Drosophila melanogaster: one gene and its partner. The protein of the gene in region 1 interacts with the protein of each later gene in a biochemical or structural test. Each region holds a gene or a part of one and is shown on either strand. Other genes may lie near its edges.

Region 1 (4,288 bases):
TCAAGTCCTTCGATGCGTTGCCTGCCAACTCCAGGACCTAAAATGATTGGGAAAACCAAAGAAATTAATCAAAGATTTCAATTGAGGATAAGCAAAAGCTAAAGCAATTTATTTACTTGTATCGCTCATTACCAAAACAAACTTTGAAATCTTTTAAATAAAATTTCTTTAAATAAACATCACAACATTAAAAAAAAAAAACTCAACGGTAAACGTTATATTCGGAAAAAAGGCGGGAAAAGTGTAACTGCCTAATGGCGCAAAAACTCTATAAAACTGTATAATTCTTAGAAAATTAAAAGCGTTATACATTAAATCGAAACTACTGTTATTTAGATTTAAACAACTGATAATGTGCGCCTCGAGCATTTCATGAATTAGATGTACATTTTCATCATTCTCATTCCACACGAAATGTCAATAAGAAAGTGTGTTTTTGAATTGGAACGGGGAAATTCGAAATAACTGTACACAATAAGAAAAGTGGAGAGAATGCAACTGTGGAAAAAAAAATGTTTCCCTTGAATATTTCTGGTAAATGCTGTTTACATTGAAGCGAGAAAAAGTACCACGAGAGAAAAGCGGGAAAACTCGGCGGAAGCACACTTACCTCGGCGGTCAGGTATTCCAATATGGCAGCGGAGTACACGGCTGCAGTGGCTCCGACGCGTCCATGTGACGTAGTGCGGCTCTTGAGATGACGATGGATGCGACCCACGGGGAACTGTCCGGGACATAAGAGGCAGGTAACTGGTTAATTGGCTTGACCGGCTGGCTTGTTTATGTTTTTGTCAACCCCAACCAACCAACGAAGGCGGGCACCCTGTTAGTGTGGTGGAATATGCTCGTTGGCGAGGTGGGTACCGAAAAGGCGCCAAAAACCGAGGTACAGATTGTAAAACTCACCTGAAGACCCGCGCGCGCGGAACGCGATACCGCCTTCGCCTTGGCCTTGCCCGAATCCTTGCCTGCTTTACCGCCAGCCTGCGAATAGACACAGCACAATGCATTTCTTAAAATAACGAATTAAAGCGAATGTGGCACGAGTCGCAGAAGAAAACACAAAATGGAGGCACCGCTGCCAAAGTGAGGTTACGGCCGATTGCCCGCAGCAGCACAATAACAAATGCCCGCCGATTTCGCTGCTCCTTGTTGTTGCGGCCTACGTGGTGTCCACTTTGCGTGCACTTTGTTGTCCGCGTCTCCGCAATCCCCGCATCAATATTTAATTCGCGGGGGGCACGCGCAGTGGGAAAAGCGAGATGCGCTGCCGCTCAAAAATTCACCGCAATATTACCATTTCTGTTCAATCGATTTTTCTGCTGCCTGTAAACTGCGCCTGCTTACGAACGTGACTCTGGGCACTCGGTGATTCTAACTGCCGCGATGGGAATGCCTATTTTGTTGCAACACGAAACCGGAGCGTGCGAGTTGTTTCTACGGAATTCGGTTTCGACTACTTGAAATTTTTTCGGGGAAAAGACGCCGTCAGCGGACGCCAGGGGTGGAACGGAATATATCGATGTGTGGCCAATCGATATGCCCTCACCCCTAGATGGTAGCTTCCTTTTGTGGCCGCACATTGCCAAGTGGCGCCGTTTTGCAGAGCTGTCTATCGTAATATATCCTTGAAATCATAATCATCCTTTTTTATTTTTATGTTTCAATGACTCGGCAACAGCCCTGGAAATACGTCGTTTTTACAAGTAGTCCTACTGGGTTATATTTTTTTTTAAGCTGTCACTCACTTGACAACCCTGAAGGACGCTACTCCCCGCGCCGATTGGCAACCCTGATGGCCCGGCATTTCGAGCGGAATTTGCGAATATTATACTTGGCCGCTATTTAACGACGATCTTGCCCAGAGAATGCCGCGTGTAGCCAAGCCGAAAGCCGCCGCTCCGGCCAAGAAGGTGGTGTCGGCCAAGAAGGCCAAGAGCAAGCTGTACAAGATGCCGGAGAAGGTGAAGGAGGGCACAGTTTTCACCGATTTAGCCAAAGGCCAGTGGCGCATTGGACCCTCGATCGGAGTTGGAGGATTCGGTGAGATCTACGCGGCTTGCAAAGTGGGTGAGAAGAACTACGATGCTGTGGTCAAATGCGTGAGTGCCGCTCGTTTTTTTTTTGTGGAGATTTGCTATTATAATCGTATTTTTAGGAGCCACATGGCAATGGTCCTCTGTTCGTGGAGATGCACTTCTACCTGCGCAACGCCAAGCTGGAGGACATCAAACAGTTCATGCAGAAGCACGGTCTCAAGTCCCTGGGCATGCCCTACATACTGGCTAATGGTTCCGTGGAGGTCAATGGTGAAAAGCATCGATTTATAGTCATGCCGCGCTACGGCAGCGATTTGACCAAGTTTCTGGAACAGAACGGCAAGCGACTGCCCGAGGGCACTGTCTACCGACTGGCCATTCAGATGCTGGACGTCTATCAGTACATGCACAGCAACGGCTACGTTCATGCCGATCTTAAGGCAGCCAACATACTGCTGGGCCTGGAAAAAGGCGGCGCTGCGCAGGCGTACCTGGTGGATTTCGGCCTGGCCTCACACTTCGTCACCGGTGACTTCAAGCCGGACCCCAAGAAGATGCATAATGGCACCATAGAATACACATCAAGGGATGCTCATCTGGGCGTGCCAACCAGACGAGCTGATCTGGAGATACTCGGTTACAATCTCATCGAGTGGCTGGGCGCGGAGTTGCCGTGGGTCACGCAGAAACTACTGGCTGTACCCCCCAAAGTTCAAAAGGCCAAGGAAGCATTTATGGATAACATAGGCGAGAGTCTGAAGACGCTGTTTCCGAAGGGAGTGCCCCCGCCAATTGGGGATTTCATGAAGTATGTCTCAAAACTAACACACAACCAGGAGCCGGACTACGACAAGTGTCGCAGTTGGTTCTCAAGTGCGCTGAAGCAGCTGAAAATTCCAAACAACGGAGATCTCGACTTTAAGATGAAGCCACAGACCAGCAGCAACAATAATCTAAGTCCGCCCGGCACGAGCAAGGCAGCAACAGCCAGGAAAGCAAAAAAAATTGATTCGCCAGTCTTGAACTCATCACTGGACGAAAAAATCTCCGCCAGCGAAGATGATGAGGAGGAGGAGGAGAAGTCACATCGCAAGAAGACAGCCAAAAAGGTCACCCCATCAGCCCGAAACGCCAAGGTATCGCCCTTGAAGCGAGTCGCAGATAGTTCACCACCCAGCCAGAAGCGCGTTAAGACTGAGCCCAAGTCAACACCCAGGGAGAGAGCTACGCCCAAGGCCAGTCCCAAGCCAAGGAGCACGCCGAAGGCCAGCCCCAAGCCACAGACACCAACAGCAGCGCGGCTCCGTACTCCCAATGCCAAGATCAATTTCAGCCCGTCTATTTCGCTGCGTGGACGTCCCGGTGGCAAAACCGTGATCAACGATGACCTCACTCCACAGCCGCGTTCCAAGAAGACCTATGAGTTTAACTTCGAGCTCGACGTTAGCATGGATGCCAACGTAATTGTGAATGTCAAACGCAAAAAGAAAGCGGACCAGGATAAGGCGACGGCGGTTGATTCACGTACACCCTCATCCCGCAGCGCGTTGGCGTCCAGTTCGAAGGAGGAGGCCTCACCTGTGACCCGAGTTAACCTGCGCAAGGTAAACGGCCATGGCGACTCCTCCACGCCCGGCCGTAGTCCGCGGACACCAGCCGTCACTGTGCGGAAATACCAGGGATAGGAGCCTTTGTTTTCTGTATTTTTACATTTGTAACCTCATTAATAAAAACTTGAAATATTTTCTTACTTTTACCTACATTTACTGAATTCGATAGCACGTACATATCTTTAAAAATCATTTATTGAAAATGAATTATTGAATTATTATTATGAATGAACGTTCAGAATTTTATGCGGATTGTAACTTTATACTTAATTATTAGAGATGCTAAATTACTGCTTGGATCTGCGCTTGCTGCTGCTGCCGCTTTCGTGATGCTTGGAGGAACTGCTCTTGGAGCTGGATTTGGTGCTGGAGCCGCTGCGTCGCGATGAGGTGCCACTGCTGTTGTGCTTCTCCATTCCGCCGATGGCGCTAAGAGAAGACGCCGCCGTGGACTTAGAGGATCGTTCTTCCTTGTGCGATTTGGACGACGACGAAGAGGAGGACTTGTGGCCATGCTTGCTGCTGCTACTGCTGCTGGCATTCGTGGAACTGCTGGGCTCGGGCCGGTAGAAGGGTGACGAGGAGTTGGAAGAGTTCGATGAGCGCGACGACGCGACCGACGATTTGGCTTTGCTGGTC
Region 2 (4,671 bases), on another chromosome or scaffold:
TTTATAGCATGTGCAATGCACGGTTTATTTTATGGGATATATTATAATATTGTTTTGTAATAAACATAAACTATTAGTATGCTGTAAGAGAAGTCGGCTCAATTACTCCATAAATCATCGATACCCAAGGCGTAGCTCGGTTTGTTGGCCGTCTTCACAAAGAATATTCCGCGAGCTTCTCGAGGAACTGGATCACCCATTAGGATCTTGCCGCCGGTGCAATTTTTTCCCTTGAGTTCATCCAGTCCAGAGCAGGGAACACCGTAAAATCCTTTGGGCGAGTTAATAGACTCCGCGTAATATTCATATGAACGTCCATGACTGCAACCAGCTGAAAATGAAAAAGAAATTTCCCAATTCTGCTTGTAAGAAATTGAAACCAATTCCCAAAACTTACTGAAAATCTGCGACAGCTCCTTGCAGCCTGGTTGCGGTGGTCCACCGCCATTGGGATAGAAATCCACCATGCCGATGGGTTTGCGAAAGCCCAGGTATCCGGCACAGCTGTGTATGACATCCACAAAGTTGGCGTCCGTGTCGTCCAAGTGATTCTCCGGACCAATGCAATCCTCGAAAGCGGGACGAGCTGGATCCAAGCCAGTGATGCGGTTTACCCTGTACTTAGTGTACGAACCAGCATAGCCCATGATGTGCGCGCCCAGACTGTGGCCAATCAGATGGATCCTATTCGGATCCGCATCCTTCTCCTCCACCAGCAGATCAATTAGCTTGGCCACCGCCCGTCCCACCTGAACCGTATATCGCGCCGGTGTTAGATAGTATATATTATCCGCCTGATCCTTCCAGTTGATGGCGAACACGTTCACCTGGCCACGTTCGATATAGGCACCACGAATCGATTGAATCGAATTGCTCATGGTGCTGGACTTCCAGCCGTGAACGAGTATCTTGGTGTCCAGTTCCGGATTGAATTTCTCCGCCATCTCCTGCCAGGTGTCTCGCTTGTGGCGCTGCGGAAACTCAAAGTTATTCTCATCTATCCAGAAATCAGCACTGGAACTGGAGTCGCTGGAATAAAAGGATTCAAATTGTGACCACTACGAAAGATAACTCTTCAAATCAAATAAAAAAAAACCACACACCTTCCGTACAGCTCGAACTTGATGAGCTGTGGCAGATTGATGCGGTTTTCGGGCGGAGGTTCCACCAGATAGGCCACCTCAGGCTTACCCTGTCCATTGGGCATGTAGATCCAGGTTTTGTTGTAATCCTCCTGATTTAGAGCCACCTCACCACGAATGCCAACTAAAATGGAGCAGAAACTTATGCTTAGAAGGATGGCTAAATCGAATTGAAAACATTTTACAAAGCAGCAGCACGGGTCGCACCACTTGGGCGAGGGCAGCGAATCCGGTGATGAGCCACTGCACCACCACAAATGTGGTGGACACCTCGTTGCGACACGGATTGATCACATTACAGATGCAGGCCAGCGCATTCGAGGACATCTTGACCAGCTAAACGTCGATCTTGAACTGATCGGACGCCGGATTCCAAAGATCGGAGCTCCCAGCTCCCAGTTTCCCAGCTTCCCAGATCCAAGCTCATTAAGGCGGCTGACGCATTAGTAATCCTCGAAACCGGTTCCAGCCCAGCAATTAATTTGTGGCCTGGAGCGTTTTAATTACTCAGCATCAGTGTGCGCGCGAATCTCGGTCAGGTGAGACAAAGCCACATATGTATATCCGTTTCCCCGTAACTCCCAACTCACCCATCCAACAACTAAGGGCCAGGCCACAAAGCCAGCAAAGCGCTAACATCTCTGTACCAAAGTCGACGTCACTGTGCCACGGGAATCGGGTGTGTGGATTTTATAGCGTACGATAAGCTAGACGAGGGCCAGGTGTCAATCAAGACTGGAGTTTTGGACGGACTGCTGGCCAGGTTGAAGCCTCGGTCGGAAGGGTCTCGGCGTTATCATTCCAACTCAGTTGGGCGTCCCAAGCGCGGCGCTGTTAAATTGGGTTAAGCCCAGTTCATCGGTGCATACTAATCTAAGGTGCGTTGCCCCGGTATTGAAAAGTGGAACAATATAAATATTTGAAAATATGTTCGGTAATTTAGTTAAATAAGTTACAATAACAATTACATTTTTATAAGTGTTTTTATGAAAAATGCTACATCTTATGTACACATAGATTAAATATTATTTAGATTTTCAGCGATGGCTATGTAAATTTTTCACAAATGCAATACTTTAATGCACTAACATTATAACAAATTTCAAATTTATAGAAAACTTTAAGTATTCAAAATCTAAAACGGTCATGTAAAATACCATACATCAAACCATGTAAGCATACATCTTACATGTAAAATATTGCTGGCATTTGACCTAAGTAGATTAAGTAGATTACAAAAATATGTAATCCGCAATTTCAAAGAAACATTTTTGAGTGCATCTTATAAAACTCTATTTTTTGCCAATGCTATGTAAAAGAATAATTAAACTTTGTTAATTGTTGGGTGCGCAAATGAGTAAAGCCAGAATTACGTGGCCTATTACATTGCCTAATTTTGTTTAGTATATCTAGATGTGTTGTTGCATTTTCGAAAATATCACTTGCTGCCACACTGGCTGTGCGTCATTTTCAGAAACGCCGCGAATATTTTGCCATTGAAATCTAGCTAAGCATTGGAATTTCGCAACGTGCAGCAGCAAAGCAAACTACAAACATGTCGGGCACATCGCAGAAACACAGGAACTTCGTTGCGGAGCCAATGGGCAACAAGTCGGTGACGGAACTGGCCGGAATTGGGGAAACCCTCGGTGGACGCTTGAAGGACGCTGGATTCGATATGGTGCGTGTGTAAATACGATGACGCCATGTGCGCAAATAAACAATGCCAGTCAAGTGCTAACGATCATTTCCATTCGTTTTAGGCCTACACCGTTTTGGGACAGTATCTGGTGCTGAAAAAGGACGAGGAGCTGTTCAAGGACTGGATGAAGGAGGTGTGCCACGCCAGCTCCAAACAGGCATCCGATTGCTACAACTGTCTCAACGATTGGTGCGAGGAGTTCTTGTAAGAGGTGGACACACAAGCCATCCGAGTAATTCGATCAAAAGGAATCTGCTAAAGGCATCGGCCAATCATTTTTATTCGCAGTCAACGAAAGTGGCCCAATGCTAGCTAAGCATTTGCCGTGTTCACTGTTAGTATGTATAGCTGTAGGGTGTAATTTAATGTCTAATCCGAATAAATGTACAGTCATGGAAACGATCCTGCATTTGGATCTCTGTTCTGCGAAAAGTACAGTAGGTGTAAAACATTTGTTGCTGGCCGGCGAAGCAGCCTAATGCAGATTTTTATTAATTTGATTAGGGGACAACAATAAGCAACACTATAGAAGGCAGATCGGTTGGCGACTATATCTTCTCTATGTTTTCGATTGTTGGCGAGTAGGAGTCTCTGACTCGCTGAAATAAGCCTCTGTCTTTTTGATGTTTCTTTATCAGCGGGCTGATGTCGCCTAATTTTGAAATCTATTTCTTTTTGTTTTTCGGAAATGATCTTTTATAATGATGGACTTAGAACCTTTTAAATCCCAATCGCTGTTTTGTTTGGGGATTATGTGTAAGCGGTTAATATATATTTTATAATGAAACCCCTTTTGTCAAAATTAATTGTCCTCGAGTAATTAATTAGTACCGAGTATTTGATTATAAATACAACTTTTTTTAAATAAAAATATATATTTTTAAAAACTTATTTTTAAAGTGAGTGGTATTAAATAGGATTTCTTTTCCCTGAAGTGGTATCATATGGTATTTATTTTTGGTCCCGTGGTATTTTTTATCGTTATCGGCGCGGTCACGCTGCTAAGAATTACATTACGCGTGAATACCAATGAAAATTAAGAGAGAAATTGCAAAACACAGCCAAGCGGTGCAATAAATCGCAAAGTAAGAGGCGCAAAACGCGCAAATACCGTTTGCGCGGTTAAAAAATGCAAAAACACCAAACGATAGATTAAACAAAGTGAAATTAACTCGGCTTTGGCATATGCGAACACCAGTGTGCCAGTGTGTGTGTGTTTTTCTTTGTATATAGACTCGCAGAGCGAGACGGCCATACACGACGGCAGACGGGACGGTGCAGGTGCGCGAGTGCGAGCGGGAAAAAGGCTGTGCGGTCACTGCTACTCTGTGTGTTATTTCAGAGTTACAGGCCAAACATTCTGATGTGCGGCCGAATCAAATCGACTTTTTGTGTGCATCGCCCCAGCGTTCGTCTTAATTAATTAGTGATTGCAAGCGGGTGCAATTATGCACAAAATTACGGACTAATACAACTGCCCGCTTCGCGCTCTCTCCATCTCCCTTCCAAATAGTCGTTTGCTCTTCGCACACAAAAGTGTAAACCCTGTGAAAGGTAGCAACAACGTTTCCTTGGAAAAAGCTGTAAATAGTAAACAAAATTGTCAAGTTAACGAGCCAAAGTTATTAAATAAGGTTCGAGTACGTTGGCATCGGCTGCCCAGGCAGCAAAGAAAAACAAAGACGCAGTTCAAGATTCAGCTGGACACTTAGAAGAGTTTAAGAATTGAAGCACAAAAAAACGAAGAGAAACAAGAACCCCACCAAAAACCCCGCCGTGCGTTTGTATGTGTGTGTGCCATTCAAATTTCCCTGCAGCTGGGTGAGT

Evidence for each region. The genes of interacting proteins can lie anywhere in the genome.
Region 2: of the proteins of ball (region 1) and baf, one has a biochemical effect on the other in vitro, tested with the Drosophila melanogaster proteins (one study listed by BioGRID).

The regions. Positions count from the first base shown.
Region 1 is NT_033777.3:26,864,105-26,868,392, reverse strand, and holds ball (ballchen), read left to right. Parts: upstream 1-1,585; 5' UTR 1,586-1,617; intron 1,618-1,737; 5' UTR 1,738-1,868; coding exon 1,869-2,102; intron 2,103-2,158; coding exon 2,159-3,724; 3' UTR 3,725-3,788; downstream 3,789-4,288. Other genes in the region: His2Av (histone H2A variant), read right to left, coding at 1-37, 611-724, 907-984, 1,298-1,300; IntS12 (integrator 12), read right to left, coding at 3,937-4,288. UniProt on the Drosophila melanogaster protein: Serine/threonine-protein kinase involved in somatic mitosis and female meiosis.
Region 2 is NT_033779.5:8,026,911-8,031,581, forward strand, and holds baf (barrier to autointegration factor), read left to right. Parts: upstream 1-2,551; 5' UTR 2,552-2,697; coding exon 2,698-2,823; intron 2,824-2,905; coding exon 2,906-3,052; 3' UTR 3,053-3,655; downstream 3,656-4,671. Other genes in the region: CG7367 (uncharacterized protein), read right to left, coding at 99-331, 398-1,029, 1,104-1,266, 1,328-1,469. UniProt on the Drosophila melanogaster protein: Plays fundamental roles in nuclear assembly, chromatin organization, gene expression and gonad development. May potently compress chromatin structure and be involved in membrane recruitment and chromatin decondensation during nuclear assembly.